Linked DNA regions of Sus scrofa. The protein of the gene in region 3 purifies or fractionates together with the protein of the main gene of each other region. This does not show direct contact. Links are inferred from orthologs where the notes say so. Each region holds a gene or a part of one and is shown on either strand. Other genes may lie near its edges.

Region 1 (3,500 bases), on a different chromosome or scaffold from region 3:
AAAAAAAAAAAAAAGATAATTGAACTGACCACAAAGTGCAAAAAGGCAGATATACTCTGATCTTTTTGGCCAGCCCTGCATGGCTAGACATCATCACCATCACTCATTTCTCTCTCAGTCAGCAAGACAGCTCTGTAGCCCCTTAAAACCGTAGAGAAACCAAGCTATTGGAAGTAAAGAGTGGGGCCTTCTGAGTTGTAGGGTTGCCGGAGTGAGGGTGCTGTTTCTGCGCACACTGGGTGAGGCTGGAACCGGAGGGAATGTGGTAACAGTGAAGACCTTGGTGAGTTTTAGAAAGTTTTGAGAAGTGATTTCTGGAAATGCTTTGCGAGTTTGGGAGTGAGGTGGTTAATCAGAAAATCAGCAGCCAGTTGTTTCAGAGAGAAAGGGTGCTGAGGAAAGCTCCTGTAACCAAAGTCCTTGGGAAGACACATGGGAGTGATTGCTTTGTTTTGTAGCCATTTAGAAGCCTCTAGAGGTCAGAAGTCTGGGAATGTAGAGCAGGAGAGGGGAGACTTAATACATGAATAGAAAGCACTGGGAGGAGTTCCCGTTGTGGCTCAGCAGTAACCTGATTAGTATCCATGAGGACACAGGTTCCATCCCTGGCCGCGCTCAGTGGGTTAAGGATCCGGTGTTGCCGTGAGCTGTGGTGTAGGTCGCAGGCGAGGCTTGGATCTGATGTTGCTATGGCTGTGGTTAGGCCAGCCGCTATAGCTTCCATTTGACCCCTAGTCTGGGAACTTCCATATGCCTTGGGTGCAGCCCTTAAAAAGCAAAAAAAAAAAAAAAAAAAAAAAAAAAGGCGCCAGGGATCTTTCAAGGGCATGATCATTTTGGTTAACGGGTGAAGGGATTTTTCTGACCCATCGTTTTCCTTCATTCCTAGTGGATGCTGGGCACAGAGCTGTCATCTTTGACCGGTTCCGTGGTGTGCAGGACATTGTTGTAGGGGAAGGGACGCACTTTCTCATCCCTTGGGTACAGAAGCCAATTATCTTTGACTGCCGCTCTCGACCACGTAACGTGCCAGTGATCACTGGTAGCAAAGGTGAGTCTTGTGTGTGGGTCAGGGCAAGTGGAGAGTCGGGGAGGCTACTGTGAGATCCAGAAGGGGTCGAACTTCACATTGTAAGAGTTCCTGGCATATCTTTCCTAAAGAGTTTTATGTGCCTTTATGCAGCATAGAAGGAAATAGGCAACCCTTCGAGATACCCCTGGTTTGGTCACAGACCACCACAGCGAGGCAGATGCTCTAATACAGTGAAATGCTTGACAGAGTTCCCTGGTGGCCGAGCAGGTTGAGGATCTGGTGTTGTCCCTGCTGTGGTTCAGGTCGCTGCGTGCCAGAGGTTCAGTAGCTGGCCCAGGAGCTTTTGTATGGTGCAGGCGCAGCCAAAAAAAAAAAAAAAAGAAAGAAAGAAAAAGTTACTGATGGAAGATAATGTGAGAAAAAGAATGTGTACATGTGTGTGTGTGACTGTGTCACTTTGCTGTACAGTAGAAATTGACAGAACACTGTAAAGCAACTATAATGGAAAAAGTAAAAGTCATTAAAAGTTTAAGATAAAGAAAGAAAACATTGTGGTTGGGGAGTCCCTGGTGGTCTAGTGGTTAGGACTTGGCGCTTTCACTGCTGCAGCCCAGGTTCCATCCCTGGTCTGGGAACTGAGATCCCACATCCCGCCACTGCAGGCTGTGGCCAAAAAAAACAAACAAGCAAACTTTATGGCTTAAAAATGCTGACCAGCCTTTGAGCCTTGGGTGAATTATCGAAGTAACATCACAGATCATTGATCACAGATCACTACAACAAATCCGGCAATGCTGGAAATTTTTGAAATACTGCAACAATTACCTAAATGTGACACAGACACAAAGCAGATACTTTTAGAAAAATGGCACAGATATGGAGTTCTCCTCGGGGCGTAGCAGCAACAAATCCAACTAGGAACCATGAGGTTTCAGGTTCGATCCCTGGCCTCGCTCAGTGGGTTAAGGATCCGGCGTTGCCGTGAGCCGTGGAGTAGGTCGCAGATGGGGCTCGAATCTGGCGTGGCTGTGGCTGTGGTGTAGGTTGGCAGCTACAGCTCCGATTGGACCCCTAGCCTGGGAACCTCCATATGCCGTGGGTGTGGCCCTAAACAAAAAAAAAAGAAAAGAAAAATGGCACAGATAGACTTGCTTGATCCAGAGTTGCCACACATCTTCAATTTGTAAAAAAATGCAGTGTCTGCAAAGCACAATAAAACGAGGCGTGCCTGTATACTGGAGATCCGCGCACAGAGCCGTACAAATTTAGAGAAATGCACGCAGATGTATTTCAAGAGTTACCCGGTGATCCAGGTTTACAGAAATCTAAATGCGCCTGTGCCCCCTCAGTTGACCCTTCCCAGTCGGTTCTCATTCCCCAGGGTGACTGTAAACTGATCTCCAGCCCGTCTGTTGGCCTTCACAGCTGACTTAGCCTTTGCCCTGCTTCCCAGGGCCTCTGCTTCCAGCAGTGCTGCACTCTCATGGCTTTCGCACAGGCCAAAGCCCACATCCCCAAGTCTGGTGCCTGGCGCACCACTGGCGTCCCAGTCGGAGCCTAAAATGAATGGCTGTTCTGGTTCTCCCCTCTTCCCACCCCCAGAGGTGCACGGGCGGTAAACGGAATGGCAGGTACAGGCTCAGGGGTGACGTTTCTGTGCAGCAAGGGGAGAGGGTTGAGGGGACGTCGCTGATCCTCAGCAGATGTTTGCTTTCTGTGGTGGTGCCAGGCCTGGGGCTGGGTCAGAGAGCGGGGGTTTAAAGACGACGGCAGCAGGCAGCAGGTGCCCTTAGGAGCTCGGTCTAGCTGGGAGGTGGTCCTGCGGACAGGCAGTTAGAGGGAAGCGTGGCGGGCACAGCCTGTGGGGAGAGCAGAGAGGAGCCCGCTTACGAGGCACATGCATCTGCTGGCACTTGAGAGGGAGATGTGTGGCGGGCTGAGGAGGGGACGCGGTGCATTGGTGTTGCATCGTCTGTCCTGTTGCCCCCCCCCCCCCCCCCCCCCGCCAGCCGGGGAGAGGAAGGAGCCTTGTAAAGGGTCCGGCTTAGCAACCGCGTCAGAGGACCTCAGTGGTGGGGTGTGGTTAATCAAGAAAAATCCTATTTTATCTTACAGGCCTGGTTCTCAGTGTTCGCTCTCTCCGGGAGTGCTCTCTCTCTCTACCGTTTAGTGGTTACACGGTGCGCCTCAAGGGTACACTGTGCACCTCTCTTCAGAACTTGATGGGAACCGCAGAGATCAGGGACTCGTGTGTGAACATGTCCCACATCTGGTGCCTGGTTCAGAGCTGCTCTCCCGGGCGCTTGGTCCATACTGCTGTGACCACGAGCAAGCTCTGAGCACTTTAGCGCCAAGCAGGCCTGGGTTGTCAAGGGGAAGTTTTAGTTCCCTTCCCGGATTCCTTTGACCGGGCCAAGTAATTAGAACTGGCCTCTTGATGCGTCTGATAACCCCTTCCATCTGGTGC
Region 2 (3,500 bases), on a different chromosome or scaffold from region 3:
GACCCAAGTAATGTTTGGTAATGAATGGTATCGACAGTGATGGTTTTGGGTAGTGACTTTTGGACACACTTTTAGGCCTAGAATATACTGGTGTCCCTTCTGTTTCGTGCATTTTCAAAAAGTAAATGTTTACTTTCCAGGGAGATAGCACCCAGCCATTTAAAAATAATAATTGTAACCAAACTTCAGTAAGGCCCAGAACCTAAAATAAACCACCTTAGAATAAGGCTATTGAAATGTAGAAAATAAACTCATCACTGCTGGGGGAGAAGATGGAGCAAGCCGAAGAAAGATTCCAACTTTAGTTTTTAAAACTAGTATCCGTTCTATGAGCAGATCAAAGACTTCAGTTGCCTAAGGTTTTTGTAACTGTGGGTTCTGCCTTATTTAAAAAGCGGTAGTAGGGACCAGGTCATGGAGATGTAGTTCCCTCGTCCCCTGAGACCTCGCCCTGGAAATGACCTTGCATCTTCTTTTGGTCTGACAGTGGGCCCCAGGGACTGGGGGCTCGCACCCTGCAGGCTGGCCCTACATCTGCCCTCTGCAGAGGGTCCAGGGGGAATTCACTGCCTACCCTTCCTGCCTTGTGGACAGTAGCTCCTCTTAAGCTAACTGGGCCATAGTTTCATGTTGATGGCAGAGCCATAGAGAGAAAGAAATTTCTGTGTGCAAGTCCATTTTCAAGCCTGTGCATTATTTCTGCCAACATCCCATTGGCCAAAGCAAATTACAAATCAAATGGTAGGGATGTAGGAGCAAAGAGAGAACTGTGACTTTTTTTGCCATCTATTACAATGATTACATTGAAATGTCGTTTTGTGCCAGAGGAAGCTATGGCCTCAAAATCCTGACAATGGTCTTGTAGGCAGACGGTGAACTGCCCCAGACAAGCATTCCACACAGTTGCTTGGGGGAGCAGTTCCAAATGATCTGCGACTACAGTGGCATCGTTAGAAGGAAGGGTCTGGCCTCTGAGGTGACTTTTGGGGCGGACAGTGCCCTCTTGGATGAAGGTTTTAGATGAGGGTTTCATCATGTGCTGGTTGGGTGGAACCAAGTCTGCCTTGAAAGTTTTACCTTGTGGTCCCCAAATGGAAAACAGTGGGGGGGCTGTGGTAGGAATTCCTTTTGTGGCTCAGGGGGTTAAGAACCTGACTAGTACCCATGAGGGTGCAGGTTCACTTCTTGGCCCTACTTAGTGGATTAAGGATCCTGCATTGCCACAACTTGCATGTAAGTCGAAGATGCAGCTCAGGTTTGATGTGGCTGGGGCATACGCTGGCAGCTGCAGCTCTGATTCGACCCCTAGCCTGGGAACTTCCATATGCTGCGGGTGCAGCCCTAGTAAGAAAAAGGGGAGGCGGGGGTCACTTTCTATGCCTTATGAGTAATGGTTATAACTAAAAGTAGCGAGATTCAGTGTAAAGATTCAGGCCTTGGTATATCTTAGAATCAGTTTCCTCATCTGGAAGATGTCAGGTGGGCAGAGGTTGGGCCAGGTTCCAGACTCTGCCCTCAGGATGCTTAGAAGTTCTGTGAAGGATCTCAGGTGAGGGCAGACCTGTTGGGGCTTAGGGCTCAGGACTCAGTCCCATGCATCCAGCCAGAGCAATGCTGCTTTCATCTGTTATATAAATAGTGGCTGTCCCAGAAGATGTCATTTGAAGAAAGGGTTCTGTGGCTTTATAAAATTTGCATATTTCTGGGCTAGACAATCTAAGAAGTGTATTTCATGCTAAGCTCTCAGGAGTCTGTGTTAGATAAATGAAAACAAGTCCACTTGGTGTCACTTTCTCTGTATTACTCACTCTATGAGTTGTGGGTGCACTGGCTTCTCCCAGATCTGTAAGATCCTGCTTTAGTGGGTGGTGGAAGCCATGGGCCCTATTATTTACATTAGGATACGTTAGACACCATTTAAGAGTATATTTTTCCCTTGAAATTTATTGAGTTGGATCGTTCTAATCTTTCTTCTTAAATATTTAATTTTAATTAACCCAGAGGTGAAAGGCCTCTTTAAATGCTCTCATTTTAAACTATATTTTAAGCGTATTCATCATAATCCATTTAGTTCCACCTCCTTTATCCACATGAAATGACTAAATGTATGTTTTTATTGATCATCACAGCAAATTGCTTTCAAAAACCTGGTACAGAGAAATCGGCAAAATGAACAGCAGAACCAGGGCCCTCCAGCTCTGAACTCCACCATCCAGCTGCCGTTTATAATCATCAACACAAGCAGAAAAACAGTCATAGATTGCAGCATCTCCAGTGACAAGTAAGTGGGGAACGAGCAGCAGAGTGCAGGGCTCACCTTCTAACGTTATGCCGAACAATTGCAAAATTAAGAGGGTTGTGCTCCAAGGCTGACTTCCTCAAGGCATATGAAACGGCTTTGCAGACATGGGGTGCCGTCACCTGCTAGTGCTTGCTCTGTCATTCACCCTCCGCAACCCCCTCTCTTGGGCCTGGCCCTGTGCTGCCTTTGTCATATGCATGGTGGTGCCCATGTATGTACATGTAGGTGGTGTAACTCTGGGCAGGTAAAGTAGAGCATCACTCAGGTAGGTTCGCTGGTGATTCACTGTCGTAGTTGATGCTGAGAATGGTTTAGATCAATGCTGCACTAAAGCAGTTGTTTTCCTTTGCTGTGTCAGAGTTGAGTGTGCTTCTCTTTATGATGAACGAACAGATGTGAAAATGCTAGATGTGTTCTCTGCTTTCTTTCTTATTTATCTCATCCTGTGAAGTCTGTACCTTTTGACCATCTTCATTCATTTCACTCACCCCCCATGTCTGGCAGGTTACCAGTCTGTTCTCTGCATCTGTGAGTTTGGTTTTGTTTTTTTTGTTTGTTTGTTTGTTTGTTTTTTTTGGTCTTTTCTAGGGCCACTCCCGTGGCACATGGAGGTTCCCAGGCTAGGGGTCTAATCGGAGCTGTAGCTGCCAGCCTATGCCAGAGCCACAGCAACGCGGGATCCGAGCCACGTCTGCAACCTACACCACAGCTCACGGCAACGCCAGATCTTTTAACCCACTGAGCAAAGGCAGGGATCGAACCCACAACCTCATGGTTCCTAGTCGGATTCGTTAACCACTGCGCCACGATGGGAACTCCTGAGTTTGGTTTTGGTTTTAGTTTTTGTTTTTTTAAGATTCCACTTATGAGATCGTACACTATTTGTTTTTCTCTTTTTGTCTCACTTAGCGTAATACTCTCAAGGGGCATCCATGTTGTTGCAAATGGCAGGATTTCCTTCTTTTTTTATGGCTGAATGACCCATTGTGTGTATACCCCACATTTTCTTTATCCATTCATCTGATGGTGGACACAGATTGTTTCCATGCCTCGGCTGTTGGAAATGATGCTGTAGGCAGTAAACATGGGAATGCAGGTTATCTGCTCAGGATTGTGATTTCCTTCAGATACATACCCAGAGGTGGGATTGCTGGGTCATTTTAATTTTTTGAGGAACCTCCATACTGTTTTCCCGAGC
Region 3 (4,006 bases):
AAGATGAGGGGATTCGCCTCAAGAGCACAGCTGTATTTTATTCACAGCACCTCAGCTGGGAAGCTTTGACATGGCAACACACAGCATTTGCCAATGAGGGAAAAACATGTTCTCAAACAAGACAATCTCTTATTATAAGTAAATATCAAGAGACAAAAGAGACAGTTTCTAAGCCAATGTTTAATGGTTGCAATTCCGGCAAACTCTTCTCTGATGTCTTTGTGCCTTTGCACAAGCTGTTTCTCTTTTCTTGGTATTTCTTTAACATAATGTAATGGACAAGTCGAGTCAAATATATCTGTGTTCAAATCCTCTACCACCTATCATCTCTGTAGTATCAGGCAAATTAATTAACTCCTCTGCACCTGTTTTCCGCACTGGAAAGTAGAATTCGACTACGACTCAGTTTAAGGGGATGTTGGTGAGGATTAAGTAAGATAATTATGTAAAATGGCCAGAACAATTCTTTATACATATAGTAAGCCCTCCTTAAATGTTAGGTCTGTCTGGCTAACTTCCATTCAAATGCTACTGCTCCTCGGAAGAAGTCCCTTAAACATTTCAACCGTGGCTTCAGTTTTCACAGCGCGATTAAAACACTTAGCACCCGATAATCAGTTCTTTGCTCACAGCTCCCACCCCTTTCCCTAAAAAGAGCTCTAAAAGGCCAGTCATTGTCCCCTCCTTGGGATCTCCTAGGGGTTGGCCAAACTCAGCTCCTAACAGGCATTCCAGAAGTGTTTTTGTTTTGGCCGATTCGCTTAACGGATTGGGCGGGAGGAGGGCGGGCGAAAGCGAGGGCGACGCCCGCGGAGGAGAGGGGCGTGCCGGCCCAGGGTGCGCTCGCCCGATATTCCCCGCGGGCTCGAGCCGGGCCCCAGATCCACCCGCAGATTGAGGTGGGGCCCGCTCTCACCCACCAGGCTGGGTAGCGCCCGGTTACCGGCACCCAAGCCTGGAGGGGCGAGTTTCGGCGCGAGGCAGGTTCAGGCGGCGGCGGCTGCCTCAGGGAGCGCGCCTGGATCTCCAGGCCCGGGTTCCCCGCCCGACCGCGCGCCCTCGCCCCGCGCCCCGCTCGGCGCCCCGGTGCCCTCCAAACGCCAGCGGGCCCGGGAGCCTCGCGGACGTGACGCCGCGGGCGGAAGTGACGTTTTCCCGCGGTTGGACGCGGCGCTCGGTTGCCGGGCGGGGGAGGGCTCGTCCGGTTTTTCTCAGGGGACGTTCAAATTATTTTTGTAACGGGAGTCGGGAGAGGACGGGGCGTGCCCTGACGTGCGCGTGTCCTCCTGCCCCGGCCCTCCTTCAGCGCTCGCCGGCACCGGCCCTGGGAGGGCGTCATGCCGCCCAAAACCCCCCGGAGAGCAGCCGCCGCCGCCGCCGCCGCCGCCGCTGCTGCTGCGGAGCCCCCGCCGCCGCCGCCGCCGCCGCCGCCACCGCCGCCACCGCAGCCTGAGGAGGACCCCGAGCAGGACAGCGGCCCCGAGGACCTGCCTCTGGTCAGGTGAGCGAGCCGACCCGTCGCGGCGGCCAGCGCGCGGGAAGGGCGCCCCGGGGGTGCGTCGGCGGGCGCCGCGGCGTCTAGGCGGGGGCGCGTCTCCGCCCGGGCCGGGTCCCGGCGGGAGGAGGGTCCTCCCCGGCCCCCCGCGGCGGCGGAGCGCCGGGAGGAGGCTGACAGGGGTCTGGGGTCGGGAACGAGGGGAGGGCGGCCGGGAGGGGTTTCGGCTCCCGCTTGACAGGTGTCGAGCGGGTGGGGCTCGGGTCGCTGAGCGAAGTGACAGGTGCCGCCTTTCCTCCGCGAGACGGGAGCCTCGCAGGCGGCGGGTCGTTTGCAGACCCCATCAAATGCAGAAGAAAGAAAAAAAGAAAAGAAAGACTAGATTGCTGGAGAGGTTTTTCCCCATTTGAGATTTGTAGTCCTCCGGTGGTCTTTCGACTTTCTGTTTTGGTCTCCCGCGGTGCAACATTTGGAAGTGTTTTCCTCTGGGCGTGCGACTCATCTGAAGCCCAGTCCTGGGAGAGGCCAGCCAGGAAAACCTTGGATACTGCTGCAGAGATGCCACCGGACGTGAAGTGCAGGGTTCTGGGTGGCAGTTGCCCCTCCGGGAGCTCGGCTGGGGTGCTTTTCGGGGTTCCCTTGTAAAGAGTGCTTTGAGTTCTAAGCCTTCGGTAGTGACTGGTGGAACATAGCTCTCTAAGAGGAACTTGTTGTATCGGTAAAAGTTTTGTGAGACATTTAGCTCAAGAGCTTCGAAGTTTCTGAACGTTCTCATTTTTCTTGTTGCATAAAACTCTTCTTGCATGATAGTCTGCTTCAGGCTGCCTCTTTTTTTCTTCCATTTTGCCTTTTGGCTTTGAGCCAGCAAGGATCTTGGTGTCTCTTTTGTATTTGTTTGGGAACAAGATTAGTGTTCTTGTGCTCACATAAAATTAATTTTCCCCCCAGGTGGATTCTAAATTTCAGCGAGTCCATGATAATATAGGGAGATAGTTATTGCAGCATCTTATTTTTCTTGATTGTGATGCTTTACGGTTTAGAAGCCAAGATCGAAAGAGTGTAATTGTCATTATCATTGTTAGCACTGGCCCTCCTTTGAGACTACGCATCAATTGCCAGGGGATGGGACTCTGCTGATCCTCACCACTCTTTCCTGCAGTTCTGATCCGTCAGCAAGTCCTATTTCTTTCACCGCCCTAGGACACATTGTTAGGGACTGAAGTGGGCTTTTGGAAATACCAGAACAGCACACAGTCTTCATTCTTGAGATAACCAAAAGTTAATTGTGTTTCAAAGGAGGTTTGGCAGTCTGGAATAGGGTCAGGGGCATGGATTAGAGAGTTAGATTACTGGGTTTATATTAGAGCTTCCCACTTACTCGCTGTGATCTCAGGTGAGTGCTTTAACTTCTCTGATTTGTGATCATCAGAGTACTTACCTGTTAGGGCTTATGTATGTATTAAACCATGCATCTAAACCCCATCAATTCATTTAAATCCTGTTCATATGGAGCATAGTAAATACTAAAAAATTATTAGCTGTTCCTTGTACTATACTATTCTTATGTCAAATAGATATTAAGTGAATGAATAAGAATTAGCCAACAAGAATTTTTTGACTGCCTATCTTGGTTAAGGAAGATCAAGGAGAAAAGGCTGAAATAAGCATATCAATAATTTAATCATATAAGAAACACTAGTAGTAGGTAGAGAGATTAAATGAATCGTTGTTGAGAGTGGACTGCATTTTAGCAAAGTCACCGATACTGAATTGGTTCTGTAATGTTATCTATGGCTTTCCTTTTCTGTTACTGTCCCAATTTTTCCTAACAGCTGTAGCTATTGTACTTGCTTTTCTTCCCAAAGCTATGTTGCTGCACTGAAGTTCCTATGATTTACCAGGCCAGCAAACATTTTTCACTATGTGGTACTCTTATTTTGGAAATACTGAAAAGATCAACATACGTTTAAATTCTAAGTGTAATTTTTTAAGCGATAGTTAAGATCCCAAAGTATTTGGTGATGTCTTTCAGAATAGTGCTATATTATATGCAAACCAGTGAAACCAATGCTTACGTAATTAATTTGATTATAAAAGTGCCTTTTATATTATATTTTCATTTGGTAGGCTTGCATTTGAAGAAACTGAAGAACCTGATTTTACTACATTATGTCAGAAATTAAAGATAGCAGATCATGTCAGAGAAAGAGCTTGGTTAACTTGGGAGAAGGTTTCATCTGTGGATGGAGTATTGGTAAGGATTGTCTTAAAATTTTTTGAAAATATTTTTCTCATTTTAAAAATTATTTTAAATCACCATAGAAAATTTGGAAAATAGAAAAATATAAACTAAAGCTAGGAACAAGTCTATTATTCAGAGGTAACTTACTTCTGATAAAACTAAAAATTAAGGAAAAAAACTCCCTATGTTAGCTCCCCACCAAAAGCATTTTAAAACAACTCATAAATATCATATTTTATTTGTAAATACTTCATTGTGCCATAAAGACT

What was found. The genes of interacting proteins can lie anywhere in the genome.
Region 1: the proteins of RB1 (region 3) and PHB purify together in Homo sapiens (affinity purification with western blotting; 3 studies listed by BioGRID). This does not show direct contact. The link is inferred for Sus scrofa from reciprocal best matches to the Homo sapiens genes RB1 and PHB1.
Region 2: the proteins of RB1 (region 3) and TFDP2 purify together in Homo sapiens (affinity purification with mass spectrometry; 4 studies listed by BioGRID and IntAct, counting the BioPlex papers as one, with this or other methods). This does not show direct contact. The link is inferred for Sus scrofa from reciprocal best matches to the Homo sapiens genes RB1 and TFDP2.

The regions. Positions count from the first base shown.
Region 1 is NC_010454.4:25,603,194-25,606,693, reverse strand, and holds part of PHB (prohibitin), read left to right. Parts: intron 1-889; coding exon 890-1,051; intron 1,052-3,500.
Region 2 is NC_010455.5:82,766,791-82,770,290, reverse strand, and holds part of TFDP2 (transcription factor Dp-2), read left to right. Parts: intron 1-2,129; coding exon 2,130-2,281; intron 2,282-3,500. UniProt on the Homo sapiens protein: Can stimulate E2F-dependent transcription.
Region 3 is NC_010453.5:19,314,836-19,318,841, reverse strand, and holds the start of RB1 (retinoblastoma-associated protein), read left to right. Parts: upstream 1-1,206; 5' UTR 1,207-1,337; coding exon 1,338-1,501; intron 1,502-3,622; coding exon 3,623-3,749; intron 3,750-4,006. UniProt on the Homo sapiens protein: Tumor suppressor that is a key regulator of the G1/S transition of the cell cycle. The hypophosphorylated form binds transcription regulators of the E2F family, preventing transcription of E2F-responsive genes.